4 linked regions of the Saccharomyces cerevisiae S288C genome follow. Changing the gene in region 2 together with the main gene of any one other region gives a genetic interaction. Each region holds a gene or a part of one and is shown on either strand. Other genes may lie near its edges. The genes, in order: PMR1, VPS21, CHS5 and SEC27.

Region 1 (9,102 bases), on a different chromosome or scaffold from region 2:
ACTGATAAAGAAATCACAAAGGGCGAGGCGCAATTACAGAAGCTATCTACCATTGTCTCCAAATTTATTATCCGTCGTACTAACGATATTTTGGCCAAATATTTGCCTTGCAAGTATGAGCACGTTATTTTCGTAAACTTGAAGCCGTTGCAGAACGAGCTCTACAATAAATTAATTAAGTCAAGAGAAGTGAAAAAAGTAGTAAAAGGTGTTGGTGGGTCTCAGCCCCTGAGGGCTATTGGTATTTTAAAGAAGCTATGTAATCACCCTAATCTCTTGAATTTTGAAGATGAATTTGACGATGAAGATGATTTGGAACTACCTGACGATTATAATATGCCGGGTTCAAAAGCCAGGGACGTACAAACAAAATATTCAGCTAAATTTTCCATTTTGGAAAGATTTCTCCATAAGATAAAGACCGAATCCGATGATAAGATTGTTTTGATCTCCAACTATACCCAAACCTTGGACCTCATTGAAAAAATGTGTAGATATAAGCACTACAGTGCTGTACGGTTGGATGGTACAATGTCAATTAACAAAAGACAAAAATTGGTGGATAGGTTCAACGATCCTGAAGGCCAAGAGTTCATCTTCCTCTTAAGTTCTAAAGCAGGTGGGTGTGGTATCAATTTGATTGGTGCAAATCGATTAATTTTGATGGATCCGGATTGGAATCCTGCTGCTGATCAACAAGCTTTGGCACGTGTTTGGAGAGACGGTCAAAAAAAGGATTGTTTCATTTACAGATTCATATCGACTGGTACCATAGAGGAAAAAATCTTTCAAAGACAATCTATGAAAATGAGTTTGAGTTCATGCGTGGTCGATGCGAAAGAAGACGTTGAAAGGTTGTTTAGTTCTGACAATTTAAGACAGTTGTTTCAAAAAAATGAGAATACGATATGTGAAACACACGAAACATACCATTGTAAACGTTGTAATGCTCAGGGTAAACAATTAAAGAGAGCCCCTGCAATGTTATATGGTGATGCGACAACTTGGAATCATTTGAACCATGACGCATTGGAAAAAACAAATGATCATCTACTAAAAAACGAGCATCATTACAATGATATCAGTTTTGCATTTCAATATATTTCACATTGATCTCTTACATACATGTACTTATAAAACAAAAACAAAAAGTAGAATTCGATCGTCGGGGGGTCATTACATATTTATTTTAAATGATGGGCATGGTTATATATATTTAGACGTAATAAACAATTGAAAATTGGGGCCAAATTGGTAAATATCTCTATGTATTTCAATCAAAAAAGTATAATCGTATAACTTAAGGGTAAAAAAAGTTGAGCGATGTCATATTATACTTGTGCTAGCTTTTAAATTTTTCATTATCTTCAGTTTTATCGTGGTAAAGTGCCAGCCGAAACTGCCAAAAAAGATTATGGCAAGAAAATCTCACGCTGTCAGGGAAATAAAAATCTGATACAGTTTCACACTCTCAGAAGGATTAACTTTAACTATTACCTAACACCAATATCTGAAGAGAATGGATGAAATTCTTGCCAAAGCAGGTTCACAAGCCGTTACATTTGCTATAAAATCCGGAATATCGATAGCATCCACATATGCGCTAAAGACAATAACGAACTTTGTCGTCCAGATTCCTAAGGATGATGCTAGAAGAATAGATCAACTGAAATTTAAACTGGAAAGCCGCATGGCTATTGTATCCAGTGCAATTGACCTAATAAAGCTGGTAGCGGCGAGGGGAAACACGAATTTGCAAATCACTCTGAGGTTAACCAAGGATTTAAAAGAAGAGATTGATAGGTTTGATGAGAAGATCAACGAAATGACGCAGAAAGTTGAGGGTTCCAGGAGCGCAAAAACACAGAATGAAGCTATTAAAGCGGTAGAAAACTATATAAAGGACTTGCTATTGAGGATCGAAGAAATCACTCCATTCATTAATCTTTCTTTAACCACTTCTGGTGCCAACTTGAACAGCGCACTCCCATATCAACTTTCTCCTGGTTTATTATTAAAAGCCTCCGATTTCGTTAGCGAGAACAATAGAAAGTATGAAAAGGCAATGAAGAGTAATGAGAAAGGAACAGGTGACAAGGAGATTCTAAAAGTTCAAGTGGGGCCTACATTTGAGGTTACACTATTCTCTATTTTCTATAACCTAACTTCAGAAAACAATGGGCAATCAGGAATTGTTTGGAAAGAGGATATGAAACGTGCAAAAGCAAGGATATATAGATTGAACTCTACAGGCAGAAAGTATGATTATTTTATGAAAATAGAACAAGACTTCAATGACGGTAGATATCATGAGGATGATGACAAAGAAGACACACCACAGGAACTTGCCATAGATCTGAACCATATTAAGAAGCTGTTTTTCAGTGTTTCCGGTAAGCTTCTCCGATTAGAAGAACAGGATTCTCCAGTGTTGGTATTGAAGATTGACCGGAGCGATGACAAAGAAAATGAGAGCAGTGAAGGAGACAAGGGATTACTCGATGACATTACTTGGTATGCGGTAAGCGGATATGAAGCGATAGAGGAAGATGAAGAGGAAGATGAAGAGGAGGACGAAGAGGAAGGAAAAGACGGAGAAGAACGAAAGGAAGAAGAAGAAGAAGAAAATAAATTGGAGGACAAGGATTCGTCGATCACACTACTGGAGTACATCATTCGGCTGACGTCCTTACAAAGTAACGATCAGAAAAGTATATTGGAAGTGAGTGATGAAAGGTTATCTATATATTTGAACGATGAAAATACGAACTCCAGAAAGGATAGAATAAGCAATTCGACAATTGAAGAGACAGAAAAAAAGTTAAAAAACCTAAAACTTTAGGATGGTTACGTATCCTGTGCAGCCTTGGACAAATTTTATAATTGTATATATCTATGTATATGTATACGAATGGAAAAATTTATCCGAATCTCGGCCCGACTGCCAGCTTGCCGGGAGAACAAACAACCGCCAATATATGTATATGTATATTTATATAGATGTCCAGATGCATTATTGTGAATGTGAGTTATGCGAAGATACTTGTTTGTATAGCTCGTTCAACTCATTGATGGAGAATGGAATGTCAATATCGTTTAGTGCTGTGTTCGTAGTTGTATATGCGCTTCCTGTTTCATTGATACTAACAGGTTCCATAGATATACTAGGGCTTTGCTCAAGCGGATCGAGGGAAGCCAAATCAAGATTGTCAATGCTGTCGGCCTTAATTTCTCCGTTTTGCAGAGGTGGCTTCAAACTCGGCAATGTGGTTGTCATGTCTACATCCGACGAGCGACCATTTAGGCCCAAAAGAACGTCCAGATCTGCAATACCGAGACCATTGACATGCGCTGCTTCATCATTTGCCCTTCTGTGGCATGACCCTCCCTTTGATTTCCGGCTGCTTTTCCTCTTGGTATGACATTTACAAGGTTCACCCTCATCACAACGACATCGTGTTTCATCTTCCTTGCTGCCAACAGCTGGCCGTCGTGCAGAGGCACACATGCACCCACCGGATGGGTTGAAGTTCTTGGTTCTTCTCAGCTCTTTACAATGGCCACATGTGGTCGATGGTCTTCCCTTGCGTCTGATCATCTGTAGCGGACCATCAGTGTGAGTACACTGCGCCGCCCTGTGACCCCTGATACACGTTTCACAGGCATATTTGACCCCGTTAATTACGACCATTCTGTGAATACACTGATTATCAGTCCTCTTTTATCAAGCCGCCGTCTAATAAATTACATCGCCATGGCTACTGCTATTTCGTCCACAGCTTAATACTTACCGAACCAGGCCTTGCGGCTCTTACCCTGCGTGCCCGCGCACCCTGGCGACTTCGCCTCGTTTTGGCGATTTTCTTAGCAAATATTCTTTCACGATCGTAGTGGTGGAAGGTGGGTGAAAAGAGTTGCGTTCCTAGCAAGGATCGGTTGGTATCAATTGCACGTTCAGCTCATCCCTAGATAACCACTTAACAGCAAAGCCGATCGTTAAACTTTTGTATTCTACATTCTAGTTGCATTTTTTTTTTTTTTCATTTTGTTACATCAAGACAAGATTCTCTATTTAAAGAAGTACTTTTTTTGTTAACAGTGTGGACCCTACCTATCGTTATATCGAGATCTTGTTCCCTAGGCCATCGTACACTATAGCCCTTCCTTCAAGCACTTAATAGAAAAACCTCTTTTTCTACACCATCATAATAGTGTTTGCTCGCCCCGTTCTTTCCATTCCCATTTATAACAATACTAGTAACTATAATAATATCCTTACGACTGGGCAAGACAAGACGAAGCAAGGCCAGCACAGACGTAAGCTTAAGTGTAAGTAAAAGATAAGATAATTATGAGTGACAATCCATTTAATGCGAGTCTTCTTGACGAGGACTCAAACCGTGAGAGAGAAATACTAGATGCCACAGCAGAGGCCCTTTCGAAACCAAGCCCTTCTTTAGAGTATTGTACTTTATCCGTGGACGAAGCTCTAGAAAAACTGGACACTGACAAAAACGGTGGTTTACGATCATCTAACGAGGCCAACAATAGGAGATCACTTTATGGCCCCAATGAAATAACCGTAGAAGATGATGAAAGTCTTTTCAAGAAGTTCTTGTCAAATTTCATTGAGGATCGAATGATTCTACTTTTAATAGGATCCGCAGTGGTCTCTCTTTTTATGGGTAACATTGATGATGCTGTTAGTATCACACTGGCCATTTTCATAGTTGTCACTGTCGGTTTTGTCCAAGAATATAGGTCTGAAAAATCTCTAGAAGCGTTGAATAAATTGGTTCCTGCTGAATGTCACTTAATGAGATGTGGTCAAGAGAGTCATGTACTGGCTTCCACCTTGGTTCCTGGTGATTTAGTGCACTTCAGAATAGGTGACAGAATCCCCGCAGACATTAGAATTATTGAAGCAATCGATTTATCCATCGATGAAAGTAATTTAACTGGTGAAAATGAACCGGTACATAAAACCTCACAAACGATCGAAAAATCTTCCTTTAACGATCAGCCTAATTCAATTGTACCGATTTCTGAGAGATCTTGTATAGCTTATATGGGTACATTAGTCAAGGAAGGTCATGGTAAGGGTATCGTCGTAGGAACAGGTACAAACACATCCTTTGGTGCCGTTTTTGAAATGATGAATAATATTGAAAAACCGAAGACTCCATTGCAGTTAACAATGGACAAATTGGGAAAGGACTTGTCACTGGTTAGCTTCATAGTTATTGGTATGATTTGTTTAGTTGGTATCATACAAGGTAGATCTTGGTTAGAAATGTTCCAAATATCGGTATCCTTAGCGGTTGCTGCTATTCCAGAAGGGTTACCAATTATTGTCACTGTTACTTTGGCATTGGGTGTTCTGAGAATGGCCAAGCGTAAAGCCATCGTGAGAAGGTTACCAAGTGTCGAAACTTTAGGCTCTGTCAACGTTATCTGCTCCGACAAAACAGGTACACTAACCTCAAACCACATGACCGTATCTAAACTTTGGTGCTTGGACAGTATGTCCAATAAGCTAAACGTCCTCTCATTAGACAAAAATAAGAAGACTAAAAATTCTAATGGAAATTTGAAAAACTATTTGACTGAAGACGTTAGGGAAACTCTAACTATCGGTAATCTCTGTAATAATGCATCTTTCTCTCAAGAACATGCCATATTTCTGGGAAATCCTACTGATGTAGCTCTTTTAGAGCAATTGGCAAACTTTGAAATGCCTGATATCAGAAACACCGTTCAAAAAGTTCAGGAACTTCCATTTAACTCGAAAAGAAAATTAATGGCAACCAAGATTCTCAACCCTGTCGACAATAAGTGTACAGTTTATGTTAAAGGTGCATTTGAAAGAATTCTTGAGTACTCCACAAGTTATTTGAAATCAAAGGGTAAAAAAACTGAAAAGTTGACTGAAGCCCAAAAAGCTACGATAAATGAGTGCGCAAATTCTATGGCATCTGAAGGTTTGCGTGTCTTTGGATTTGCTAAACTAACTTTGTCTGATTCATCAACTCCTCTAACCGAAGACCTAATCAAAGATTTAACCTTTACTGGTTTAATCGGTATGAATGACCCACCAAGACCGAACGTTAAATTTGCCATCGAACAATTACTACAAGGTGGTGTCCATATTATTATGATCACTGGTGATTCTGAGAATACCGCAGTAAACATTGCAAAACAAATTGGTATTCCAGTTATTGATCCAAAGCTTTCCGTTTTATCCGGTGATAAATTAGATGAAATGTCAGATGATCAACTGGCCAATGTCATCGACCACGTTAATATTTTTGCTCGTGCTACGCCTGAGCATAAGTTAAACATTGTTCGTGCATTAAGAAAGAGGGGTGATGTGGTAGCAATGACTGGTGATGGTGTTAACGACGCTCCTGCGTTGAAACTTTCAGATATTGGTGTTTCTATGGGTAGAATTGGTACAGATGTAGCCAAAGAAGCCTCAGATATGGTCTTAACTGATGATGACTTCAGTACTATTTTAACTGCCATTGAAGAGGGTAAAGGTATCTTTAATAATATTCAGAATTTCCTGACTTTTCAATTGTCTACTTCTGTTGCCGCACTATCATTAGTTGCACTATCTACAGCGTTTAAACTACCCAATCCACTGAACGCAATGCAAATTCTTTGGATAAATATTTTAATGGATGGGCCACCAGCTCAATCCTTAGGTGTGGAACCTGTTGATCATGAAGTTATGAAAAAACCTCCAAGAAAACGTACCGATAAAATTTTGACCCATGATGTAATGAAACGTTTACTAACCACCGCGGCCTGTATCATCGTTGGGACAGTTTACATTTTTGTTAAAGAGATGGCCGAAGATGGTAAAGTAACTGCTAGAGATACTACTATGACATTTACTTGTTTTGTTTTTTTTGATATGTTTAATGCTTTGGCCTGCAGACATAACACAAAGTCAATCTTCGAAATCGGCTTTTTCACGAACAAAATGTTCAACTACGCCGTTGGACTGTCTCTGTTAGGTCAAATGTGCGCTATATATATACCATTTTTCCAAAGTATCTTTAAAACTGAGAAACTTGGTATCTCTGATATACTATTGTTATTGCTCATCAGCAGTAGCGTTTTCATCGTTGATGAATTGAGAAAATTGTGGACGAGGAAAAAGAATGAAGAAGACTCAACGTATTTCTCAAATGTTTGATATGTCACATTTTGTGCTTTTATCGTTTTTCCTTCCTTCCCTTTATCTTTCATGAGGACGCCCAACCCTATTGAGGTAAATGTACTAATTAATGGGAACATATGTAGATGTATATATGTACATATATTTACAACGGATACTAAGATAAACATGTATGGGCGACTTTTCGTATATACAAAGCAATATAAAATTTTATTCTTTCCTTCTTTTTCCGGACTAGATATAAAATCTCCGTAATCAGTGGTTATGATTTTCAAAAGTTAATCACAGTTTTATTTAAAACTGTATACAATTATTTGCAGCCGCCTTTCGCAATCTGTTCATAACAGCTAATCCTTCTCCTTCCTCATTTATACCTTCGACAAATATTAGGTCTACTTTATCATTTTCATCCACTTTTCTTAAAGCTGCAAACAAGTTAGTCTGTATTTCTTCACCAGATTGGCCAAGTCTTTCGATGATGAAAGTTTTCGAAGAAAAATCGGGTTCATTAAAGATCTTAGATTGTAAGTCGGAATCACGTAATTTTAGGGAAGTTAAAATCGCAATTTTTTTTATATTACTGTTGGCTTTTAATTCCGTTTCGATTAACCTCTTTAATCTTTCCATCCTATCAACGCCCTTAAGAATGCCATCGCCTTCGCAATGAGGAACTAGTAAAACAACTTTAGCTGAAGGGGAATAGTGTCTATACTTCATACCAGGCGTTCTTACCTTTTCGCCCTTTTCAACTGTTTTCTTATTCTCAACTTTACAAAGAGACCAAGCTTCACCACCCAATTTAACAATTTCTTCATATGTAAAACCGCCAGGTCGCAGTAGCGTAGGAGGATTACATAACCCATCAACAACAGTACTTTCTACACCAACCTTGCACGCTCCGCCATCAAGAATTATGGGAATTTTATCCTTTAGATCATGATAAACATGAGACGCTAAAGTAGGAGATGGCCTAGTAGACGCATTCGCTGAAGGAGCAGCTATTGGTGTATCGCTCAGGGCAATCAGTGCTCTAGCCACTGGATTAGCGGGTATGCGTACCGCAAACGTAGGCTGATCTGCGGTCGTTAACTTTGATAATGCACTATGCTCTGAAGATGGAACTGGCAAAAGAATTGTTAATGGGCCAGGCCAAAGGCTTGAAATTAATGGGCGATAGATTGAGGGTATGTTATCAAACAAGGATGTACCTGATAGATGCGGTTGATTAAAGACCTTTCTGTTAAGTTGATCAATGGATGAAACATGTGTAATCAAAGGATTGTCACTAGGCCTATTTTTGGCCCTGTATATACTAAGCACTGAATTATCATTTAAAGCAGAACCTCCAAGACCATAAACAGTTTCGGTTGGAAAAGCCACAGTCTCATCTGTATCTCTTATTATCCTCGCCGCTTCAACTAGCGCTGCTTCCGTTTCAGGATCTGTTATCGTTGGTAAGGAACCATCTATATGCGCATCAGGGGAGAAAATGATTGATAGCGGGTTAACTTTTAAGATCTTGGTATCAAACAGTGCTTTCGATGTCATTGCCAAAAAATGTCGTCCAAGGTACATACAATTCTAAAAATGGAATAATAAACAGGACTACCATTAAAAATGGAAACAGGTTTAGTGGTAAGTTAACAGCGCAGAAGAAAAAAAAAATTTGAGGAGAAGAATAAAGCTCTCGCTTCAAATATTATCAGCTTCAATAGGTATGTGCGATGAGGTTACTATCTTCTGGGTGAAAAAATAGTAAGGCTAGCGTAGATAATGATTTGAAATTTCTCAAAAAAATATTTTTGATACATATAATAATTTTGAAGCCTGAATTTTTCAACGAAATAGCCTTGTTGGCGCAATCGGTAGCGCGTATGACTCTTAATCATAAGGTTAGGGGTTCGAGCCCCCTACAG
Region 2 (6,496 bases):
TCGAGCGACTCCCTCTCGAGCCTCTTTTGCTCGTTGGTTTTCAGCACAAAGCCCTCTGGTAGGGAGTGTCTGTACATACATTTGTCACCTCCGTTAGGACAAATCCAAAACCAACCGTATTTACCGTTTTCCACGGCCTCGATGAAGTATTTGCATACTTTGTCGGTGGTGGTCTTTGGGTTACCGTGCTTCGACAGGATAACTTTTCTCAGCTTTTCTTCATCCCAGTTGTCCATTGTGTCATTTTCCTTTTCACTTCTTGTATCTTGGTATAAATCTTTCTTTTCCATTCTTCTACCGACGTTCAAGTCATGTGAGAACTTACATTTGGCACCTTTGTTACAATTCCCCAGTTTGAACAGAGCACAAACCATGGACTTGGGATCTACACCCGCACGAACCCTTTGGTCTGCTACAGGGTTGAATAGTGCTCTTCGTTCAGCTTCTTCGGCTTCTCTGCGCTTTTTTTCTTCGAGTTTCTTTAACCTCATCTCTTCTTTCTTGGGGTCGGATTGTGATTGCACTTGTTTGATGTATTTTTGGACTTTGGTAGAACGGTTCTTGTTCTTCATACCGAACGTCTTGTCGACATTATCCTTCTTCTTACCAGCCGCTTGGGCCTGTTTTCCCTTTTTTGGTGGCATCTTCGAAATATAACTTTCCTGCGATTTTATATGTGTAAAGCCCAGAGGTTTACTAATAGAGTGGCTTCCCTTGCTTTCTAGAAATAGTAAAACACATTGATTAAAAAAAGATATATTGTCGATTTTCACTAACTCATCGCTGGGGAACAAAAATTTTTTCATTATCATCACAGTTCATCATGTTCGACGAGCTACGTGCCAATTCATTTCCTCCACTAGTCTCCAACTTAAGAAATACTCTCAGAGGTTGCAATCTTGTGCTGTTCAGGGTGTGATGGGCAGCATTGACTAAATTTCCTTATCCCTTGCATAGTTACATTCTTAGTTATCAGGTATTGGCGACCAATTGCATACATTTTTATTTTCTACTTTAAAACTCAGTAATGAGCAGTTACCGGCCCTTCATTATGTAGAAAAACAGGATTCACTTCTTTCTACACAAGATACAAAAAAGAAAAAAAGGATCGATTGGAGGGTAAACGAAATCGTGTGATAGGCAGGAAAAGAAACATCTATTGCTACTTTAATTGAATTTGTGCTCTACTGAAATTTTTCAACAGAAGAAGTGCTTTTACTTCTCTCAATCTCTCCATGTCTCCCTTAACTAGAACCGTAGCTATAAAGAAAACGGTTAAGGTTCTATCTAAATGTCAATCTGGTAGAGAATACACACAGAAGTTTCTCCAACGTGCATATTCAACATCACATGCCAACAGCACATACTATTCAAGGACAAAGCTATTCATATCATCACATTCTAAAGCTCTAAACATTGCTCTACTAAGCGGGTCCCTACTGTTGACCTACTCCTACTATTCCCCTAAAAAGATCCTCTCCCTTGATACAATTAACGGAATAAAAGATTATTCTACAAATACTAGTGGTAACATTAACATGCCGTCACCTAATCCAAAAGGAACAGAGACACAAAAGAGTCAACGGTCTCAGAATGACCAATCTGTTCTTATCTTGAACGATTCTAAAATAGAGGCTAAACTACATGATAGAGAGGAAAGCCATTTTGTTAACCGTGGCACTGGTATATTCAGGTATGATGTGGCACAGTTGCCCTCTAACCATCCAATAGAAGACGATCACGTAGAACAAATCATTACCATTCCGATAGAAAGTGAGGATGGCAAGTCCATAGAGAAGGATTTGTATTTTTTTGGAATTTTTGATGGACATGGTGGTCCTTTCACTTCGGAAAAATTATCTAAAGATCTAGTCCGTTATGTAGCGTATCAATTAGGTCAGGTATATGACCAGAACAAAACGGTTTTCCATTCCGACCCCAACCAATTAATCGATTCTGCAATTTCGAAAGGTTTTTTGAAACTAGATAATGATCTTGTAATCGAATCGTTCAGGAAGCTGTTTCAAGATCCAAACAACACAAATATTGCAAACACTTTACCAGCGATTTCTGGTTCTTGTGCACTATTAAGTTTATACAACTCCACTAACTCAATTTTGAAAGTGGCTGTCACTGGAGACTCAAGGGCTTTAATTTGTGGTTTGGACAACGAGGGCAATTGGACGGTAAAGTCGCTATCCACCGACCAGACCGGTGATAATTTGGATGAAGTACGGAGAATTAGGAAAGAACATCCAGGAGAACCAAACGTTATAAGAAACGGAAGAATATTGGGTTCATTACAACCATCCAGGGCATTTGGAGACTATCGCTACAAGATCAAAGAAGTCGATGGAAAACCATTATCGGATTTGCCTGAAGTTGCCAAACTTTATTTTAGAAGAGAGCCAAGGGATTTCAAGACACCCCCATATGTCACTGCGGAACCAGTGATTACTTCTGCCAAAATTGGTGAGAACACTAAATTTATGGTGATGGGTTCGGATGGTTTATTCGAATTACTAACTAATGAAGAAATTGCTTCCTTGGTTATCAGGTGGATGGATAAAAATATGAATCTGGCACCTGTGAAGGCAGAACCGGGGAAATTACCAAAAGTTATCGATGTATCTGAAGACAAGGAAGCACAAAGACCGGCATTCAGGTACAAGGATAATAATTCGAGCTCACCATCAGGATCAAACCCAGAGTATCTTATTGAAGACAAAAACGTCGCCACTCATTTAATTAGAAATGCATTAAGTGCGGGCGGAAGAAAAGAATATGTATCGGCATTGGTAAGTATACCATCGCCGATGAGTAGAAGATACAGAGATGACTTGACAGTAACAGTGGCGTTCTTTGGTGATTCTGGAACACCCTCAATTGTCTCCAATGCTACTTCAATAGTTATGAACCCGGAGGCAACAACAAAGCCAAAACCTAGATTATGACGATATAAACTTATGCTGAGGTAGGTATATACCAGAGGATTTATTTTATAGATATTAGTCTGCTGATTATCTAGTTTCTTGTCACCTCATACGTGTTTTTTTTTTTTTTGGTTTTCTCGGTTTGCATTATGGGGCTTTTTGCTAAAACAATATCCCCGAAAAGACAAAGAAAGAGAAGTGAGGTGAAAATACGAGCAGCTTATCTTATAAAAGTGGCAACGATTTTAAAAATAAAAAGCAAGATCGTCGACTTATCTAAGCTATAAAAAAATATCCCTTTTATCACACAAAAAAATGAACACATCAGTCACTTCCATAAAGTTGGTACTGTTGGGTGAGGCAGCAGTTGGTAAATCGTCAATAGTCCTAAGGTTTGTATCTAATGATTTTGCCGAAAATAAGGAGCCCACCATTGGTGCAGCATTCCTCACTCAAAGAGTTACTATAAATGAACATACTGTTAAGTTTGAAATATGGGACACTGCTGGGCAAGAGAGATTTGCATCTTTAGCACCTATGTACTATAGAAACGCACAAGCTGCTCTTGTAGTATACGACGTTACAAAACCACAATCCTTTATTAAAGCGCGCCACTGGGTTAAGGAATTACATGAACAGGCATCAAAGGATATCATCATTGCGTTAGTTGGTAACAAGATCGATATGCTGCAAGAAGGTGGGGAAAGAAAAGTCGCAAGGGAAGAAGGTGAAAAGCTAGCGGAAGAAAAGGGCTTGTTGTTCTTTGAAACAAGTGCAAAGACAGGAGAGAATGTTAACGATGTATTTTTGGGAATCGGTGAAAAGATACCACTGAAGACGGCTGAAGAGCAAAATAGTGCAAGTAACGAACGTGAGTCGAACAATCAAAGAGTGGATTTGAACGCTGCTAATGATGGGACCAGCGCAAACAGTGCTTGCAGTTGTTAGAGAGGGGAAAATAAATATATATAAAAAAAAAGTCTGGGCAAATTGAGATAAATAGATCTTCAAAACGGGAAAGATGAAAGTCATAATTTATCGTACCTAGAAAGGAGAGGGAGTTTTCATTTTTTACCGTAATCGTTGTTTTTCTTTTCTTCTTATAATTTGTAAATTTTTTAACTGCATTAGATCATTATATTATCTTTCAAAACGCCAGTCGTTTTTATTAGACCTTTATATACGTTTCAAAGTGGTTTGTACACGTTAGTTTAGTTAAACTTTTGTTTTCATGTAGACCAAAATATAAACTTATTTTATGCCGAAAATCGGGAGATGGATTAGTTAATATTGTAAATAATGATAAATTAAAGGAACATTAAATTTACAAAGTTGCAATGAGGAGCAATATATATATATATATATGGATTTCTGAGAAATTAATTAAGCAGTATTTGAACACATGTCGTTTACTCTTTCTTATCCTTTATGTCTAATTTTTCGAGTAGATCGGTAATTACAGCTGTCAAGTTTTCCACTTTCTTAGTGAGCTCTTTGACTTCATCTTTATCTTCACCAGCATCATCTTCAGTGTCATCGTTATCATACTGTTCGAAGGAGGGACTGCATTTTTTAACGTTTTTATACCACTTCTTAGGGACTTTAAAATGGACATCTTCCTGCTCTGCTGTTCTTTGCAGTTTTAGCGAACGGGAATTCTTTAACTGGGTGGCTCTCATGCCAGAATTTCGGTTATCAGAAAACAAACCGTCATCATCATCCAAGTAGCCATCTGTCAAATCCCATGGAGTATCATATTCATTGGCATCATCGTTTAACCTTTTCATCCTGTTATATTTTATCCTTCTAGCCTCCCGAGTTTCTTTAACAGAAATAAGCAACAAAAATGGGCTGTACACTATTGTCATTACAGTATAGCTCAAATCTTTAGCACGCTTCGGTGGAAGAATACGAAAGATAGGTGTCATGAACACTTCAATTAAGTTCAATGGAGAAACATAGACATCTTCATCAGGTGCTCTAATGTATCTCAACGTCTTTTGTGACATCAAAGCCATGTACTCGTCATCTGCATTGTCAATAACTTTTTGGTACGCAGTCGAATACAAAGCAATTAATATATTCAAAAGGATAACCGAAACAATAAAATAGTAACCATAATACAGTATTGCCGCATATGGGGGAGCGAATTCTTCGAAAACATCAAAACTACCAAGACCCAAAACGGTGATTGTTAAATTACCCAGGATGGGTCCGGTGATATCTCTCTTACCATCTGCGGAATCCAAACCTAAGAAACCTTGAGTGAATCCTATCATTATTAAGAATAGAAGGAAGAAAAATACAATGGATTCTTTCATCATATGTTTTAGGATAACCAACATAATCCCAATAAACCTTTGTGATTCAAGGTATAGTAGGAGTCTCGACCACACAAATGGTGCTGCACAGGATAAGACTCTATATGATATTTTATCCCAATCTTCTGAAGAGTATTTTGCATTAAGGGGCGTTACGCTCATTGCACGGAACCCCATAGCAAACGTGATTATCAAATATGTGGTATCATTAAATAAATTCCAAAACGATAGGTGCGCATAACCAATATAATAAAGCTTAGTGAGCTCATCCAAGATGAAACCAGTATTGAAAACATAAAATATGCTTTCTAACAAATCGAAAGATTGGACTCTCTCAGAGTCCTTACCATTAACCACCAAGGTATAAAGCCCTAGAAACAAAAATGAGAAGATCATCTGCAAATAATTTTGGTATACAGGCGCCTTTAATCTTACGGGGTTGAAATGAGAGATCAATGACACTTCCGCCAGTGAATCGTCCTTGATAAAAGTTGTGGGATCCAAGCCATTTTGGACTATCCATCCTCTCCATATCCATTTTAAACAACGCTGAAATCCACTCGATCCTATCACTGTAGTACAGTGCATATCTGTGGCAAGTTCCAAGGCATTCAACGGTTCTTGATCTTCATCGTTCTCGTTGATTACGTACCGACGCAGCAGTAACTGCATGAAAAGAAACTGCAGGTCTCTTGTCTCCTCCCTTTCAATTAACAATTTACATAACTGTTGTGAGGCTAAATTTCTGGTTTCGTAAAGTTTGGCATTGTGCACTTCCATAGTGGCCAATATGGAATACCACTCACAAACTTTAAGAAGTGAAAAAATAATGACAGATTGATATTTTCTTTTGTTGGCCTTGTCTTTAGGGTTCCCGCCACATGCTTCATAAGCCAGCTTCACAACTTTTGGAGATAAAATCTCAGAATGGTCACAAACAATATCATTGGGATCGTAAACAATAGGTACGACCTTATCAATTAAGTATTTCAAATTTAACGTAACCCTGAGAATCTGTCTCGGAGTGGGGGCCTCAAATCCAAGAGATCCATTGTTTTCCGGCATGCACTGTTCGTTAGAAATTGGCAAGTGCAAGTCGCCGTTGGCTGATACCATAATGCTCCTGTTCTAGTAATATTATATTTTATAACTGAATTCTATTGCCTTACCAAGCCACTGATTAATGACAATTGCATTGAATAGGCTCTAGCTGATCCTCGAAGGATACTGACTAAATTTACC
Region 3 (8,287 bases), on a different chromosome or scaffold from region 2:
AAAAAAAAAAAAATGAAAAATCTCCGCGACGGGGAATTGAACCCCGATCTGGCACGCGACAAGCGCCCATTCTGACCATTAAACTATCACGGATTATATTACATTAGCGTTTCCTGTGTCAAAACGCAATTCATAGTAAGGTGGTTTGACAATCCTAATATAAGCAGTCTTGAGGAAGTGACCAGTTGTCAAAATGGATTATCAGCTTGATTTACGAAATGTTACTTATCCTATATACTACATAAATATGATTCATACTAAATGGTGGAAGCGCGGAACCTCGGATCCAAATTAATTGTTCAGGCATTTATATGTTTGGGTGGGTCAGCCAAGGAAGGCGGAGTTTTATCTCATGTTACTCACTCTGTTCGTTTTCTTATAAGGTTGTTTCATGTGTGTTTTATGAACTTTTAGGATGATGTATTGTCATACTGACGTATCTCATTCTGAGATACGACAGCCTTCCACCGAGATGTAACCTAACCAATACAATACAGAAAGGAGATCGAAACTCGAATCTGTTCGTCTGCTTCTACGTACCTGATCTTAAATAGTAGCTTCCTAAAGTATTGACAATTATATATGTTGAGTGTTGCTAGTACTTTGGATTACGTCTCTTTATTTTCTCAGTTATAGTTTACGATCTTTTAAATAATCGCTAGCGATTCGCCTGCAACATAGCCGTTGTCGTTTAACGTATCTTACCTTGTTTCAACCTAGCATAGCAAAAGACACGATATGATCTGTATAAAACGGTAGAATAATACTCTACTAATAATGAGTTGTATAGGTGGATTGAAAGAGGTGGGTTAAAAAGGAAAAAAATGAATTCTTTATTATTTTTTTCCTTAACGTTCCAATAAGCAAACCTATTACGATACGTTTTTTATACTGAACGTCAAATTATCTAATTTTTATACGGAAAAGCTAAAACGTAGAATGCAAACTTTCCAATTTTTTTTAAAGTTAAAATAAGCAGGTTAATATAACTGAGAAATAGGCGAATTTTGAGATAATTTCTGGGTCAATCATCTTCCTATTACATTATCAATCCTTTCATTTCAATACCCATTAAATAAAAATGATTGAGAAGATCGTTGATTCTTATTTCATTAATAACAATGTTTTGGGCGGTGGCGTTTTGGAACCTATACCATAAATTCCCAGTAATTTATCACATACATGCTCTTATTTAAATGTAATACAATTGCAACAACAATATTGTATATTTAACTGATCATAATTGCCATTCCAGTTCATATTGAATTCTATTTTTCGCCGTTCCTCTTAGAGTGATCATTGAAAATCGTATATCGCGTGAATGCTCTTTTTATTTACAAGCTACAAGCTGTGAATTATGTAGTGCCTTGTTCAACCATGTAGCAGTGCATCGCCCTTTCTTTTTATAAACTTTGTGAATTCATCTTCCTGTCACAGTTATTCCCTTTTGCGTCGTCATTAAATCTCGGCTAGCCACCCTTACGCAATTCGTTGCACCTACAACCGTAACGACGGAAAGAAACAATCATATCCCAAAAAGCATTCTTTATCCCCATATGTGAACATCAGGGAATCTAATCTCGATTACTTCCCCTCCCATACTCAAACTTCAGAGTCCAAAAAAGCCAACTCCAATTAAACATACGAGAGAATATCTCCTTATGCTTCTACACATTTTTGAGCAGTAACGTCTTTATAATCGAAAGGTTTACCCCAAGTTTATTTGCCAAAGAGTTCAAAACTCGCCCAGGTATAATTAGTAATTTTTTAGGGAGAAATTCACAGAACTCGGTAAGTTTTCTTTATTGACATTGTCATTTTTGGATTATTAGGATAAAAATAATCAGCGCCCTACAGGGAGATTCAACGGCCACTGCTTCCCTGAAATTCTCCTCCTCAAACCAGACTAACCCCCATATGAACTACATAAAATCAGTGGAACGTTAAAGCACTCGAAACCTTATTCAAATGGCTGTCAGGTCCTACTATCATACTATTACAATTTTTTTTAAAATGTAATTAATGTTAACTTTTTTTAATTAGAGGGTATGTAATGCTAATCCTACATAAGAAGGTGATAATATTTGTAAAAATACTAATGAAGTCCACCTACTCAATATCAGAAATATAATTAAGATGGTCAATTTACAATAATTGAGGAATGAAAAGTAGCCATAAGCACTAAATGATATGAATGGATATGATTAATAATTTCGTGGTGATAATTCGTTACCTTGTTCATCATAGAATTTTTCTTCTATTATGTCATTTGACGCAACGCTACTATTTATAGGCTCTCCACCGCTATTGGTATTATTATGGTCGGCGGTGTTGGCGTTTGGTAATACGCTATCGCTATCTCTTATTCTGACGTCGAAAAGGGAGCTTTGCTCCATCACATCATCTGCTTCATCTAGGTCTAAACCACCTGCGGACGATGCACTACCACCTAATGGTGAATCGGAGTGGTATTCATCACTAACTTTCTTACCCAAAAGCATATACCACCATTTCGTAAATTTGTTAGCTCTATATGCCGTAACGACCTTACCATCTGAGTCAATAAAGTCCGTCCTTGATGATTGGATACAAAACATGTAAATTAAAGCCAGTATCACCAGAATCAGTGGTACACCAATACCAACCACACAACCAATGACGATGTTTCTATTTTTTTTAGAAAGACCCGAACTTTTGGATTTATTGCTTGAATCAGCGGTTGCTGATGGTGTGTACGTAACGGTAGTATAATGATTTGAGAGAATCGTCTTACCGTTAATAATACTGGTGATAGTGCTTCCTTGATTATAGGCAGTAGTGGATGGTGTGGAGGAGGTTGAAGGTGCAGAAGTGATTGTTGATGGGGATGATGAAGAGGACGGCGTTGACGACAGTGAGGATGAAGATGATGTTGACGTTTGCGTAGAAGACGTCGATGATTCAGAAGTTGCGGATGTCGAAGAGATGGAAAAGGATGAGGAGGATGAAGAATCTGAAGAAGCAGAGGAAGAGCTGCTGGTGCTTGAATCTGATGAGAAACTGAATGATGTGAACGATATGGAGGCAATGCTGGTAGACGAACTCGTATGTGACACGAGGGACCTACTTGATGTCGATGAAGTAAGGGAAGATGAGTCAGCACTTGAGGAAGAAACCATACTGGATGACAAAATGGAACTTGAAGAACTAACTCTACTTACGGAAGAACGTGCAGTAGATACTGCTGAAGAATTCGAAGATGATGATTGCACGAAAAATTGTGCGCGTATCGTCGATATGCATGACAGTATTAAAAGTAATAAGCGGAAACTATTCTTGGTTGTGAAAGACAACATACTATGATTTGCGTATTTTATATGTCCAATCTTCAACGAAAGTAGCGAAATAATGGTACTATTTGTTCAACGAGAGTAAAAATATAGTATGTCTTTGAGGCAGAGGCGTCTTCGTGAATCTAGAATGTGTTTAGGGATAGTTGTATTCTTTTCTAGCCTACCTAAAACGCAAAGTCAGCTTTAAATTATTTTTCAAATTCGCAATATAAATGTATACCTTCCTTATAAGACTTATAACGGAAAATATGAAGAATCAGAAAAAAATGGTCCACTGTACTCGTAACTTAATTTGAAAGCCTTGAATGGTGAGTTTGGTAAGTAAATGAAACTAGAAAATAATATGGGGATGATCTGAAACCAACTTGGTTATTGGAAAGTTGTGCTAAACCAAACACAGGAAAAAAGAGTGTAAAAACTGGGGTGATGTCTTTATGTTCTTTATGACTTTGTTAATTTGCAGATTATGAAAGCAAAACGGCAAAAATAACGGGTAAAGATTGATTCAAATCTGAAACAGCAAATTCATTTACCATCCCATCTAACGGTGCTCCTTCTGAATGGCCCAATGCAAACTCCTACAAAAAAATTGCCATTTTTTTGCACAGACCACGCCGCTCAGCCTCGAGAAACATTCCTCGCGGCATTTCCGTGAGATCTCTCAATTAATTTCTTTTTTTAGATTTTTTTCCGTTTTCCGTTTGAATAATTTCGCGTTTTCGTAGAGCGCGACGGCCTATAAATAGACAGATTTTGAATTTCCTTTTCGGGCTTTTAAGATTCACTCCCCAATTTTTAATAACGGACATTTCGTGCTTGGCGGCTACTGAGTACCCCTCTCAAGAAAATGAAGTGATCGCCAAAGCAGTTATCATATTTGTAACTAGTTATACATGCTTACATATACACAGATATATAAAAAATAGATTATATTTGCTGAGGGATTCTCAGTCGAAAAAATAAACGTGCGTCGTGGAACTCATTGAAGGCATCCATTAATCATTTCTTTTTCCCTTTCTTCTTATTCTTCTTATTCTTCTTCTTATTACTGTTGCTGTTGCCAGTATTTTTTTTAGCTTCTTTAGTGGACAAAACGTCATCTGTATTTACTTCGGCTTCCGTTGTCTCTTGTTCTTCCGTGACGGCACTGCTTTCAAGAGAAGCAGAGGCCTCAGTTTTTTGGTGGGTAGTACTCTCACCAGAGGCAGCCTCCTTGGAAACGTTGTTGATATCGTCTTCTGCCTCTGAACCTTTTTCTTCTGGTTTTACATCTTCATTGGATGGCTCGACTGCAACACTTTCGGTAGCATCTTTAGGTTCGGCTTCAAGTTCTATATCTTCTTCTTGATGTCTTGGAGAGGCAATGTCGGTAGTAAACTCGTTGGTTTCTTGTACGGGTTCACCGGCATCCTCCACAGGTTCACTGGTATCTTCCACAGGTTCATTGGCATCCTCCACAGGTTTGTTGGAATCCTCCACAGGTTTGTTGGAATCCTCCACAGGTTTGTTGGAATCCTCCACAGGTTTGTTGGAATCCTTCACAGGTTTGTTGGAATCCTCCACAGGTTCATTGGAATCCTCCGCAGGTTCATTGGCATCTTCTATAGACTCATTTACTTCTGGAGTTTCAATTTCAGCTTCTGGACGTCCAAATTCCATTGCTGCATCATCTGCAGGTTCGTTATTTTCCCCTGCACTTTCTGTGGTTATGTTGTTTTCAGCTACTTCTTCAGTCTGTACAAATCCATTATCAGCTTGTTCGTTAGAATGTGTATCGGTATCCTCACTTTTCTGTCCCGTTGCTTCTTCATTTGGAGAACTTTCAGCCACAGCTTCATTCGGTTCTTCTACCACGGCTTCTGCGGAAGAGTCCGCTTTGTTTTCCTCTATATTGGGAGTACCAACAGGTTCGCTTTTCAAACTTCTTACGGAGGGGTTGACGGTTTCGATGGTGGTTTCATTCTCCAAAGCCGTCGAAGCATGCAATGGATCTTCTACAGGACTTACTGGGGCAGTTTCATGTCCACTCTTTTCTCCTTGTTCCTTAGCTTCTGAAGGATTACTCTCATTGTCATTAGGTGATGCAACCTGTTCGACATCTGTTGTGTCCTCGGGCATCTTATTTTCATCCGCTACTTCGGCTACCGGCTCATTCTCCTTTGAGTACGAAAGTTCTTCCTCATTAACTGGTGGGAATGTGTAGTTTTTCAGTATACTTTGATCTGCATCTAAGTAAAATCCTCTAACACCAACGATTCTTTTCTCAACCTCACAAGCTCTCACCCATTCCGGTCTGACAATTGGTATGTTGTTATGTTTTGCCCTTATAAGCTCTTCATTGCTTTCTTCATTGTCTAGATCGTTACAGACAAAATGCGTAGTATCTATCGCAACATGACGTTGTAAAGGTCTCGCCCCGATGTGAGACAAACATTGGGATATCTGTAAGTCTGAAATTTCTTTCAATGGATCCAATGGACCCAAACATACAGTGATACCAGACATGTCAGTCATCTTATGTGTACGCAATATAACCTTTTCAGACCATAATGTTCCTGACGTGGTTATCAGTTTCAATTGAAATTCGTATGGCGTATCAACGGAAAGACCGGATATTTTCGTGGTAGTCACTTTGAATGGATTTGGAATTACCATTGAACGTATTCCCTTCCTATAAAGGATCAGTGATTTCAATTTTGCTGAGCCAAGTTTCAATGGATCCCATGCTAGAACACAGCTCGTTTGCGTAACGTTAACAATTTTCAAAACTGGGCTCTCCGGTTTATGGGTACCATACTTCTCCAAAATTTTGGCTTGTATACTCTTAAAATGATTCCTTTGTTTTTTTTCCTCCTCTAAATTTTGTGAAACTTGCATTTTTATGATAGATCCAGCTTTAACATTTTCTGGTAATAATACTGTAGGAAACTCAATAACATGATGATCCTGAGTAGTCAGTAACGCCAATGAGGCATCCAACTTACCTACTGTTAACAGTACATCAACTGAAGACATTATTCGCTACTCGACCAGGTTCTAAAACGGAAACGTAACATGCAAGCTAAACCGCGATAACATTTAGCATCTACGCAATAAATAATGAGGCTTTAGAAAGGAGAACTTGAAGGGCCGACCGAACTTGTTAAAAAAGAAGTGCAGCTACATAATTTCCGTCTTAAGTGACATCTTTTTAGTGGTCGACTCGAGGCTACTGGAAGCAATAAGATAAGGATATGGCAATAGCTTATAAACGGTATCATATGAACATAAAGCGCATTGCATAACTATTGTTAACTAAAATTTTAATTGCCCAAAAGTATTTGATTAAATTATATTTTATGCATGCTACTTATTGTACGTTACAGCCGGTAAGGAAAAAATTTGAAAATTCTGAATTGGAGGACCTCTTCTTCGACACAGAATTTGATACGCGGTTGTTGAAGATTTGTCTTGGGCAATCATGTTAAGCATTATTGGAAGAAGTACTGAATTGCTCGTTAGGGCGTAGGATATCGGAGCGAGCGAACTTTGTTGCCACTTCAATCGGAGCCTTGAAATCATGGAGAAGACCATCGGGTATTCAAATTCCAATTGAGACACTATTAAAGAGGAAAAATATTCATTAAAATGAGGAATAACCTGGCTTATTTCGACATAGTTTCCCTCTTTAGAAAAAAAATTGACAGTTGTTGATAACTCGGAAAGGTAATAGATTTCAGGATATCCTTTGGCATGCGTATGAAGCTCTCTGGGTTTGCTTATGAACGTACTTATCTGAGCATCCGTTAAAATTGTACATTTTAAACTGAGAATGACGTGGTTTTCTATGGTGCTTACATCTTGAACTTGATAAAACAGTTGTTCCTCCCAAAAGCGAATACTTGAACCTACAATCTCGCGCAATTTTGTAAACAACTCTTGCTCTTCCGTAACTAATCGATCGTTCATTTTAAAATTCAGTTTAATCTTCACTTTTCCTGGTACGAGTGACAAAGCTACCAGTTATTATAGTTAGTAACGCTTCATTCACGGATGGGTTTTAATTTTGCTAGGAGAAACATACTTTCAACATTCCAGGTGGTAGCAGTGGAATATATAATGAATTAGAGTCGGTTGATTCCGGTCCCTCAATGCGTACGGTTGAAGTCCAAGCAGATAACAATTTTCCTGCCTCATCATTATTTACAGCGCCACAACTTTCTAAAAATACGGTCAAAAATGTGATATCTCTTGCCATTAGATTAAATTTTGAAATGTTGGAATCCAATGGTGAACTAACGTGCTGTTGCGCTTATTTCTTACTGTTTGTTTTCCTTCCATTTTTTATATTTGGTATAACCGCTGAAGGTTATAGAAATTAGCTCTTTAAGAGAAAAAGGCGAAAAAATTAGTGTAAAAGTGAATTATACTACAGAAAAAAAAACTATACTAAAACACAGATAGGTAAGTCATATGTCACATTTCTACTCGCTTGTACCCTCCAATTAATTCCTGTAGGGGAAAATTGGAAATTGTAAAGAGAAAGATGAAAGAAAGAACGAAGCAATTCCGGACGGCAAATCATTCTTTGTTTCCAAGAACTTGCTTAACAGGTTCGGTTTGGTCCACATATAGTCTATGTTCTTGGATATACCTGATGACCGAATTAGGTAACAAATATTGTACAGACATGGCGCGTCTGATAAATAGACGAACTTTCGTGGAAGAAATATCATTATAGATGAGTTGCTTGATGATAAGAATATTCCTTCTATGTTCATACATAATATCATGGGATAACAAAAAAGACCTTACATCAGAACCAGTACGTTCGACAATCAAACAACCGTAATTACCGAGAATGTGATGTAAATCGGCGTCCGCCCAAACGTTTGGTTCACCCATTGACTCTATTAGGTCACCACCAGCCAGCAACATTATTTTCACACCAATTTTTTCTCCAGTAACAGTAGCTA
Region 4 (8,971 bases), on a different chromosome or scaffold from region 2:
AAAGCGTTGTACTTCTTAGACAACTTCTTGATTAACTTCTTGTTCTTGTTCAACTTCTTCAAGTCATCGACGGACATAGCGTCAACACCGCAAGACTTAGCTCTGTCAACATCGAAAGCATCACCGAAGATACAGATGGACATGTTTGGTCTTGGACAGTTTGGCAACTTCAAAGAACCAGAGAAACGCTTGTCTCTTTGAGGGTCATAGTTCTTCAAACCGACTTGTAGTTCGACGGTTTCCAAGAAGTTTCTCTTCTTGGTTTCGTTGGAATACTTCAACAATTCCTTGACGTGTTCTCTGACTTGAGAAGAGGTGATCTTAGACATTTTATGATATGTAATTAGTCTTCCAAAGTATTTGGTGGTCCGTGAGGCTTGCGACTAGTTCTATGGAGTCTTTCCTGAAACTTCAAGAGGTTACCAAATAACGTAATGCTCAAGAAGTGCTGCGAAGATGTACTTACATATCTTAATCCAAATACAACACTCTTCCCATTGATTGCGTCTTTCTTCCTCGGACTTTCCAATCTGAGGCCAAAAGATGTCTATGGCATTATTGTGTGCGAAAAAAAAGTTTCAGGAAAAAAAAACTTTAAATATTTGAGGTTGCACCCGTGCATATTGAAAGATGTATGGGTTCAAAAATGTCCGTATTCAACTTTTGCCAAAAGCTGATAGCTGTTTGGCCTTATGAGGTAAGGTTTATGAACGCAGTCTTCTTCATTGCGATCTAAAAGTTGATATGTTAATGGAGATAATGGTAGAGTAAACTGAATTTTTTACAGTCCCCTTTCTTGAAATTAAGCAAGTTATTTAGCTAACTTACATACCATCTTCATGTATCGTTTTTGATTTTTCAGTTCTTTTTTAAAAAAGAAGATCAAGTAATTTGTTCTAATCAAAGAAGAAGGTTCAATACCGTTTCTCTGGTATTTGTAAGATCTCTTTTACTGGCGTTCTTTTAAAAATGATCAGGTCCGGTTAAAGGGCGTCTCCGTCAATGAGAGAAAAATGTCAGCCTCTGATATAGATGGAAGTCGTAGCCATCAAGATGGGCTTATCCGAGGTTTGAAGTAATGACTACACATACTGACGGGAAAATTACAGCATGATTTTAGTGTACAATCGTATCAGGAGTATAATATCGTCTTCTTTAGGTCGAATACATGTACGGTATAATTCTAACTCACAAAACAGATGGCTGAATAGACAACTGAAGGATCCCTACACAAAAGAGGCCAAGGTCCAAAATCTGAGGTCTAGAGCCGCATTCAAGCTTATGCAGATTGATGATAAATATCGGCTTTTTAGCAAAAACAGGACCGATCAGAGAATTCTAGATCTTGGGTATGCCCCTGGGGCTTGGTCCCAAGTAGCACGGCAAAGAAGTTCACCTAATTCAATGATACTGGGCGTTGACATTCTCCCTTGTGAACCTCCGCATGGTGTGAACTCTATTCAAGCTAATATATTGGCCAAAAGAACTCATGATCTTATACGGCTCTTTTTTTCTAAGCATTTCCAATTGAACAGACACGATGATTTGCATAAGGACCATGGCTATTTCCAGAACATGCTCGAGGAGGAGCTAACCCATGTGAAAGATACTGAATTGTACCGTGAAATTTTCACCTCTGATGACATTTATGAAACTCCGAATACGAATAGTACCCTAATAGAACGAGAAAAATTCCCAGTTGATGTGATTATAAGTGATATGTATGAACCCTGGCCCCAAACAACCGGTTTTTGGAACAACATTACTAATCAAGCTTATTTTAGGATGGCTAATACATCTGGTGTCAGTATAAGAGACCATTACCAATCTATTGATTTATGTGACGCAGCCTTAGTTACGGCTATAGATTTATTACGGCCATTAGGTTCGTTTGTTTGTAAACTATACACCGGCGAAGAAGAAAACCTATTTAAAAAAAGAATGCAGGCAGTTTTCACTAACGTTCATAAGTTCAAGCCTGACGCTTCTAGAGACGAATCAAAGGAGACCTATTATATCGGATTAAAGAAGAAAAGAAATGTAGATAAACTGGACGTGTTTAGTAATTCATAATATGATTTGTTTGCGCGCAAAGTTTCAAGTCACGTTCATTTTCACACCTATCGCAATAAAAATAAAAAGTGTACATCTGTATATATATATGTTTACCATCCATTAAAGATGTTTTCTCATTCGTTGATTAGTTCTTTATTTGTCTTTCTATGAGGTGGTTAACTCTCTTCTTCCACAGGCTCCGGCACTGCCTCTCCTTGCTCCGGCTGTTGTTCTGATTGTTGTTGCTGGGGAGCTTCCTCTTCTTTTTTTTCGGCTTCAACTGCCTCTGAGTTGGATTCTTTAAACTCGCTGTCCTCAACTTCAGCTTCTTTGTTTTCGTCAGCTTGTTCTGGGGCTGGAGTGGAATCTAAGTCAATGAGTGGTTGGGCATCTCCTGAACTCGAAGAGCCTGGTAAACCTTCGGCCCCACAAACTCTTTCTGATACAGTATTCTTACCGTTGAGTATCAAATTTTCCTTCCATTTTGTAACAATATCGTTGACTGCATCATCTCCTAAACCGTATGTTGATCCAAGGAAAGCGGCTTCGGAAAACCTTTGAGACTTGATTAAAAGATCTTTAGCGCCTTGTATATCGCCAGCGATCCAATATGCATTAAAAGCCAAATTGAATTTACCGGCCCTTTCAGCATCTTTAGCTAAAGTGACCAACCCCTCCTTGTTATTAAAAGATGAGTGCAATAGAAATAAAGATTCTAGATCATGTGCATTTGTGAAAGCTTCAACAGCAAGTTTAAAATTGAACCTTTGTAAGGAAGCATCACCCAAGGCTCTCCATTTCATTTCGGCGCTTTCATCTGTCAACAAATCGCGAGCAAGCGTAAGTTGGCCGACTTTTAAGGCTAGCTCAAATTTTTGATCTTGATCAGGGGAAATATTCAGTGCTTCTTCATAATACTCTTGACCTTCCAGAAATCTAGCAATTTTTGTTAAAGAGTCCTTACCCTCAACATTTGGGAGTACATTTTCAATGGCTTCTTCAATTTCCCCTCTTAAAGTCAATGTTTGGAACTCCAGCACCTCTAGAGATATTTCGTAACCATAAACATGGACCTCTCTGTCAGCTAAATATACTTTATTATCACGTGCTAGATAGCCCAATAGATACATTTCCTTTGTGTAATGGGCTAAATTATAAGTCTTTCCACCTACGAAGTAGTTCAGCCTGTTAGTTGCTGTGGTAAAGATAAAGACATCACCAACCCATTTGCCTGATGTAATGGATTCACTTAGTTCATACAATACGTCAAAAGCCTCATCAACACCTTCTGAATCGTCGATATTGCCATTATTTGCTGCTTCAAGGTAAGCATCCTTGTTGAATAATAATGTGTAACCACTTGCTTCATCACCATTACTATTGGTGTTGACAATCATCACCAGCTCACCGTTATCGGACCAAATGACATCCTTAGCATTAACATCAATTCTTCTAACTAGCGTACCGTTGTCCCAATCGAAGAAATAGACGAAGCCATCAGACTTCACACCCAACAAGGCACCTGAAAATAATCTATCAATAGCAGAATGCATTGGGACAGACCATGATGTGACTTCTTTAAAGTTTTTGTAGTATTTAATTTGCCCAGTTTCATCAATTAAAGCATAACTATTGGAGTCGGGGCCCCAAACAAAGTCTTGACATTTACCGAAGGCTTTGTTTCTCCAAGCCAACGCCGTATAAATAACGTATTCACCATCCCCAACAACTGTAACAAACCTACCATTTGGAGAATGGGCTAAAGATTGAGGGAAAACATCAACGGAACCCAGCTCCTTAGTTTGTAAAGATAATGGTTCATCTTGTTCAACTTCTTCGTTACCTCTTATGACGGCAGTGAAAATGTCTGAAGCTGCGGCATTTTTGCCACCTGACCATACTAGCTTACCGACAGGGTCAAGTGATAAAGTTGGTTCATCATTTCCCAAGGAAAGTACGGTAAACCCATTATCAAACCCGGATGCAATGTAGTTTTTACGTCCTGTTGGATGGGTAGCGATACACCAACTTCTTTCTAAACCAACGTTTAAAGTCTTTTCTACCTTGTAAGTGGAAGAATTCCATATCTTTAAAGTGCCATCTTCGGAACCAGAAATTATAATGGGTAAAGTTGGATGGAAAACAGCAAAAGAAACATTGGACATGTGACCTTCTAGAGTGGCTACACATGACTTCGTTTGGTAATCCCAAATTTTGATGGTTAAGTCGTCCGACGCAGTAATCATATAAGGCTTGTCAGGTAGCGGGTAATAATCAACATAATTCACACCTCTTTCTTGTCCTGTGGTTAACGTGAAATTTGGTGTCGATTGTCCCAATGACCAAACTTTAACGGTTCGGTCCAAACACCCAGATGCAAACGTACTAGGATCCTTTGGATTGAATGCGACGCACATGACAAAGTGTTCGTGACCTTCAAAAGTTTGTTCTAAGGCCCAGTTATTTTCCCAATTCCATAGTTTGACTGTCAAATCATCACTGCCGGATAAAACATAAGGCTTTGTTGGATGTACAGCAATGGAACGGATATAGTCTGGATGAGCTTCGAAATCAACAACTTTTTCACCTGTATTGTAGTTGAAGACTCTGATCCTGAAATCATCACTCCCAACAATTATCCAATTCTTTCTTGCAATGAATTTACCTGCTCTAACAGGAGTTTCCGTAACTTGGATGGATCTAACTTCAACTTGTGTTTCGTAATTCCAAAGCTCAACACGACCAGAGTACAAGGTAGTCAAAACCCATGGCTCAGTAGGATGGAAATCGATACCTTTAACTCGATCGGATCTATTACTAAAAGTTTTCTATCATAAATGTACAGTGTCAAATAAAGGAAATGCCAAGAGCAAATGCATTTATTTCAAAAATCTTCCTGTTAGTAACTAATCTTAATGTTTGCTTTTTGCAGGCTTTGTATTCTTCGCGAACGAGATCATTTCCTAATCATAGGAGTTGTCGGAGCTTGTTCGCAATTGCATTGGCAAAACGCGCTCTGGTAACATACCTTTATATCCAACTTCATCGTGTCCGTATAATTGTTTCGATTGGGTGTCTTAATTCACCATTACAAGCTACCATTTATTGCAGCTTTCTGTTATTTACTCCCAAATCTTACACGACATGTTCCTAATGCCAGCTCGATTCATTCATGAAAAAAAGACAGTTTATTACCCGCTCATTCGTCAGACGCGATTAAAATTTGACGCCGCGTCACAAAATAATCAATTTGATAATAATATATTTGATATTATTGTCCATATTCAATAATTAGTAATGTGGATCTAATGATTTTTATACAGCTCAATACAAAGCAACAAAACTAAAAATAGATTATAATATCCAAAGTGCTCCTCGGATGAATGTACAACTTTTTAGAATTTTTCTTCTTTTTTATAACGTACACCTTATTTAAGAGCACTTTCGTTCAAGGAAAAAGTTCATTTCCTGGACATGATGTGTGTAAGTTCGAAGACCAAAATTTCCAGACAGAGTTCTTCTTAAATGTTCTTAAAGGTGACAAGTTACAGAACTTGAAGCAGGAGTACGAACAATACAAAAAACAAAGTACTTTGTACACAGGCTTTGTAATTGAAAAACAATATGAATACCAGGTAGCGCCCTTGCAAATCAATAATTTTCTTCAAGTGACCTTTTGTAAAGGAGGAAAGCCAATTTGGAATCATATTCTACCCTTTCAAAAGGATTTAGATTGGGCAGAACCACTATGCATTCCAGCCCAGGAGGATGATACTATCTCCCAAAACAGCTCAGTATGTTTCAAGTTTGCAAGGGTGCAGAAATATACACAGCGTAATGTAACCCTTTACTTTCCTAATAAATTTGTTGGATTCGTATTTGTTTGCAATTCTTCAAAGACGCATCCCCCCACTCAGAACAATTTTGAAACTATTCCATTAACGCCTATTATTTCTGATGATATTAGAGATTACAAAATATCTTGGTCAATTAAAGGAAGAATCACCAAGGTGGTACCTTATCTACATTCGTTAAGTATTCCTATGTCCAAATATGAGATGCTCATCCATTCAGATAAGAACATATCAAACGAATTGGAATATAAATCCTTAACTTCGGAGTTTTGGAAGAGCTATAAAAACTTAAGAAAGTTTAAAAACAAAGAAATGTCTTGGATAAACGAAATAAATCCTATGGAGCAATATGATAGCTCTGGGAATGAAAATGTCCCGAATTTTCATGAAAAACTAGACCGTACAATAAATCGGATTGCGCAAAACATAGAAAGGCCTCATGATGCACTAATAAGAGCGATAGCCGCACATAATAGAAACTCTAATAGTGGAAATATTACAAGAAGGAAATATTTGAGGAGGAAGATCTCAAAGATGTTAAAAAATAAGATACCTCTTAAGAACTGAACAACTTACACATTCCTATTCATGAAAAAACATAATTTTATAATAAATTGTTTGTTTGATTCGATTAGTTTATTTAACTTGATTAATTTAAGTATTTATTTTTTTTTAATTTGTTGTTACACGAGGAGTATTAAAAATATGACAAACTGGGATATTACAACATAGAAACAAAGATAACAAAAGCTATCTATTTTAAAAAAATTCATATTAAGCAAACTGGTACAAAGTGTTTTAACGTTATTAATGAAAAAGAAAACTTGGGAAACTTCTGACAAAAACAGAATTTAGAAGGTTAGAAGGAGAATGAGAAAAACCTGTAAAATTAAAAATTTTTATGATAGGAGCAGAACTTTTGTATATCGTAAAGACTCACATAAATCCTTCATCGAAGAATCCAGGGGGTTTCCTCAGTGGTTGTTTATTGTTTCCCAAACTATTTATGCTGTCATCTCGAACATAGTTTTGCGACCTAAATCCTCCGTCCGAACTTGAGGTATCTAAAAGGTCTCCTTCAGTGGAGTCGTGAAATGGATCGGTATTTGAACTTGTATCTTCCTCTTCAAAGGAATTGATCAGTCCATTATGCGCATCAGACTGTGATCTTGTGTGTCCTGGATAAGGTTTAGAGCCTAATGTTGATAGGTTTTCTCGTGAAAGATTCGTTAAGTTGTGAGGAAACGTTTGTTGTTTTGGAGCTTCAACTCTCAGAGCATCTGTGCTTGCGTTTTCATTCTTAGGCCTAGAGAATTTACTTAATATTTTCTCTGAAAACGTAGGCTTGTTATCATCACTTGATGTTACGGTTGTGGGAGTGGTTTCATCCTGTGCTTGCTTTAGCTCATCATTCACACCAGTATCATTTGATTCGTAATCTGAATTGTCGTCATGGTCTTTTGCCACATTGCCCAACGCAAGCAACTCGTTCGCTACTGATCTATTAACAGTACCTTCTGGTTTCATAGTGTTCCTTTGGAAAGAAGTTCTATCGTCCTTAGCAGGTTTAAATCTTAGATCGGGGTTCTTTGAGAAAAGCATCATACCAGCGAATGCCAATATCATCATTAGTAAAATGAACGAAAATGCAGCGTTCATAATGAAAAATATCCATCCCATAATAGCAGCCACTTTGTAGCTTTGGTTAAACAAGTCCGAAAAAAACATGAATAGAAAGGAATTAACTACAGTAACAGTAGCAATTAAAATATTCATTATGTTTGTTGGACGGTCCAGATAGGGCTTATAGTAGATAATAGCAACGAAGTAAAACAAATCCAATATGAACATGAAAAGAACTTGTGTTTGACCAGAAGCCTGAGCAAATCCAACCAATAATGATTTTACAAAAATGTAGGATAAAAGAACAATGTTCCACCAGTAATGATTGGCATTGAACATTGTATAGAAAAATCCGTATTTGTGTAAGACATATTCATCTCCATACAATAAGGCTGCTGGGTTGTTGTACAATGCAACAGATCTTCTTGCGAAAAAAACAGTCCTCCATGCAGCCCAAAGCATTAACCCACATGACAAAAGAATAAAAAGGCATGCGATGACGATAACAGCAGGTGAATCTCTTTCAGTAAATTCCCAAAAACTGAGAATTGTTAACTGAACGAAACCGATGTAAATATATCTTAAAAGAGCACCTTTTAAGATCATTCTCCATTGTTTCCTGAATTCCCAAAACCTTGCCTTTTGGATCCATCCTAACCGGGTGGCTAACTCCACACAGCATTTGAATACTATGATAAATCCAGCCAACACATATCCACATAAGACGAAGAAAGTAAAACCGGTACAAACGATGGACGTATTTTCGATTCCCATTTTATAGCCTAGCCTTTTGATTCCTCTAAAAATTAATGTATTTGCATTACCATACAAAACATTGGTAGCTCTTTTGATTAATGGGAGCTCCATCAAATATTGCCAACTTCTTTGAGCCAAAACAGACATAGATGTTGAAGTCAGATATAAGCTAGGCGTACCACCAGTGGATTGCACATACCACCGGAAAATCCTTTGCATGAATGAGATTCTAATTAACCCCATTGACCAAACCAAGTTTTCCGCCCAGGCGGCTGCAATAGGCGGAACTCGATGAACATGTTGCATGGCAACCACGACAACAGATTGGAAGTATAAGAAAAGTGACATTGTGTTGGCAGAAATATGTGAGGCTGCGGTAGAGTTCCCAAAAGTGGATAAGATGGCAGATAGTAAAAGACCAATTCCCGCTACCACTGCAGTTGCCCATTTTACACCAATCTGAGAAACTGTTTTACCGTTTGAGAAGTATATTTGGATACATGCTAGGTACTCGCTCACATTGTTGGTGATCTTGACCCTGGCATATGCGTCGATATCGGGGACTTGGTATGCAATACCAGGAATTTCATTTACGTACTCACTGGAGATGTATTCAATAGAGTCGATCTGAATATTACCTGGGTGAACCGGGCAAAACTGTTTCCAGTTGATTGAACAAAGAT

The links.
Region 1: mutations in VPS21 (region 2) and PMR1 together harm fitness more than expected from each alone (negative genetic interaction), as found in Saccharomyces cerevisiae (4 studies listed by BioGRID).
Region 3: mutations in VPS21 (region 2) and CHS5 together harm fitness more than expected from each alone (negative genetic interaction), as found in Saccharomyces cerevisiae (3 studies listed by BioGRID, with this or other methods).
Region 4: mutations in VPS21 (region 2) and SEC27 together harm fitness more than expected from each alone (negative genetic interaction), as found in Saccharomyces cerevisiae (3 studies listed by BioGRID).

Annotation. Positions count from the first base shown.
Region 1 is NC_001139.9:185,718-194,819, reverse strand, and holds PMR1 (Ca(2+)/Mn(2+)-transporting P-type ATPase PMR1), read left to right. Parts: upstream 1-4,351; coding exon 4,352-7,204; downstream 7,205-9,102. Other genes in the region: DNA-dependent ATPase RAD54, read left to right, coding at 1-1,113; YRB30 (Yrb30p), read left to right, coding at 1,520-2,842; CUP2 (Cup2p), read right to left, coding at 3,014-3,691; HUR1 (Hur1p), read right to left, coding at 7,024-7,356; SUA5 (threonylcarbamoyladenylate synthase), read right to left, coding at 7,481-8,761. UniProt on the Saccharomyces cerevisiae protein: This magnesium-dependent enzyme catalyzes the hydrolysis of ATP coupled with the transport of calcium. Has a role in the secretory pathway.
Region 2 is NC_001147.6:487,581-494,076, reverse strand, and holds VPS21 (Rab family GTPase VPS21), read left to right. Parts: upstream 1-3,248; coding exon 3,249-3,881; downstream 3,882-6,496. Other genes in the region: translation machinery-associated protein TMA46, read right to left, coding at 1-644; type 2C protein phosphatase PTC5, read left to right, coding at 1,236-2,954; YVC1 (Yvc1p), read right to left, coding at 4,343-6,370.
Region 3 is NC_001144.5:785,724-794,010, reverse strand, and holds CHS5 (Chs5p), read right to left. Parts: upstream 6,348-8,287; coding exon 4,332-6,347; downstream 1-4,331. Other genes in the region: MID2 (Mid2p), read right to left, coding at 2,205-3,335; JIP3 (Jip3p), read left to right, coding at 2,965-3,342; REC102 (Rec102p), read right to left, coding at 6,678-7,298, 7,396-7,569; nicotinamide-nucleotide adenylyltransferase NMA1, read right to left, coding at 7,893-8,287. UniProt on the Saccharomyces cerevisiae protein: Component of the CHS5/6 complex which mediates export of specific cargo proteins, including chitin synthase CHS3. Also involved in targeting FUS1 to sites of polarized growth.
Region 4 is NC_001139.9:245,999-254,969, reverse strand, and holds SEC27 (coatomer subunit beta'), read right to left. Parts: upstream 5,102-8,971; coding exon 5,084-5,101; intron 4,884-5,083; coding exon 2,232-4,883; downstream 1-2,231. Other genes in the region: 60S ribosomal protein uL1 RPL1B, read right to left, coding at 1-329; MRM2 (21S rRNA (uridine2791-2'-O) methyltransferase), read left to right, coding at 1,111-2,073; YGL138C (uncharacterized protein), read left to right, coding at 5,439-6,476; FLC3 (putative flavin adenine dinucleotide transporter), read right to left, coding at 6,846-8,971. UniProt on the Saccharomyces cerevisiae protein: The coatomer is a cytosolic protein complex that binds to dilysine motifs and reversibly associates with Golgi non-clathrin-coated vesicles, which further mediate biosynthetic protein transport from the ER, via the Golgi up to the trans Golgi network.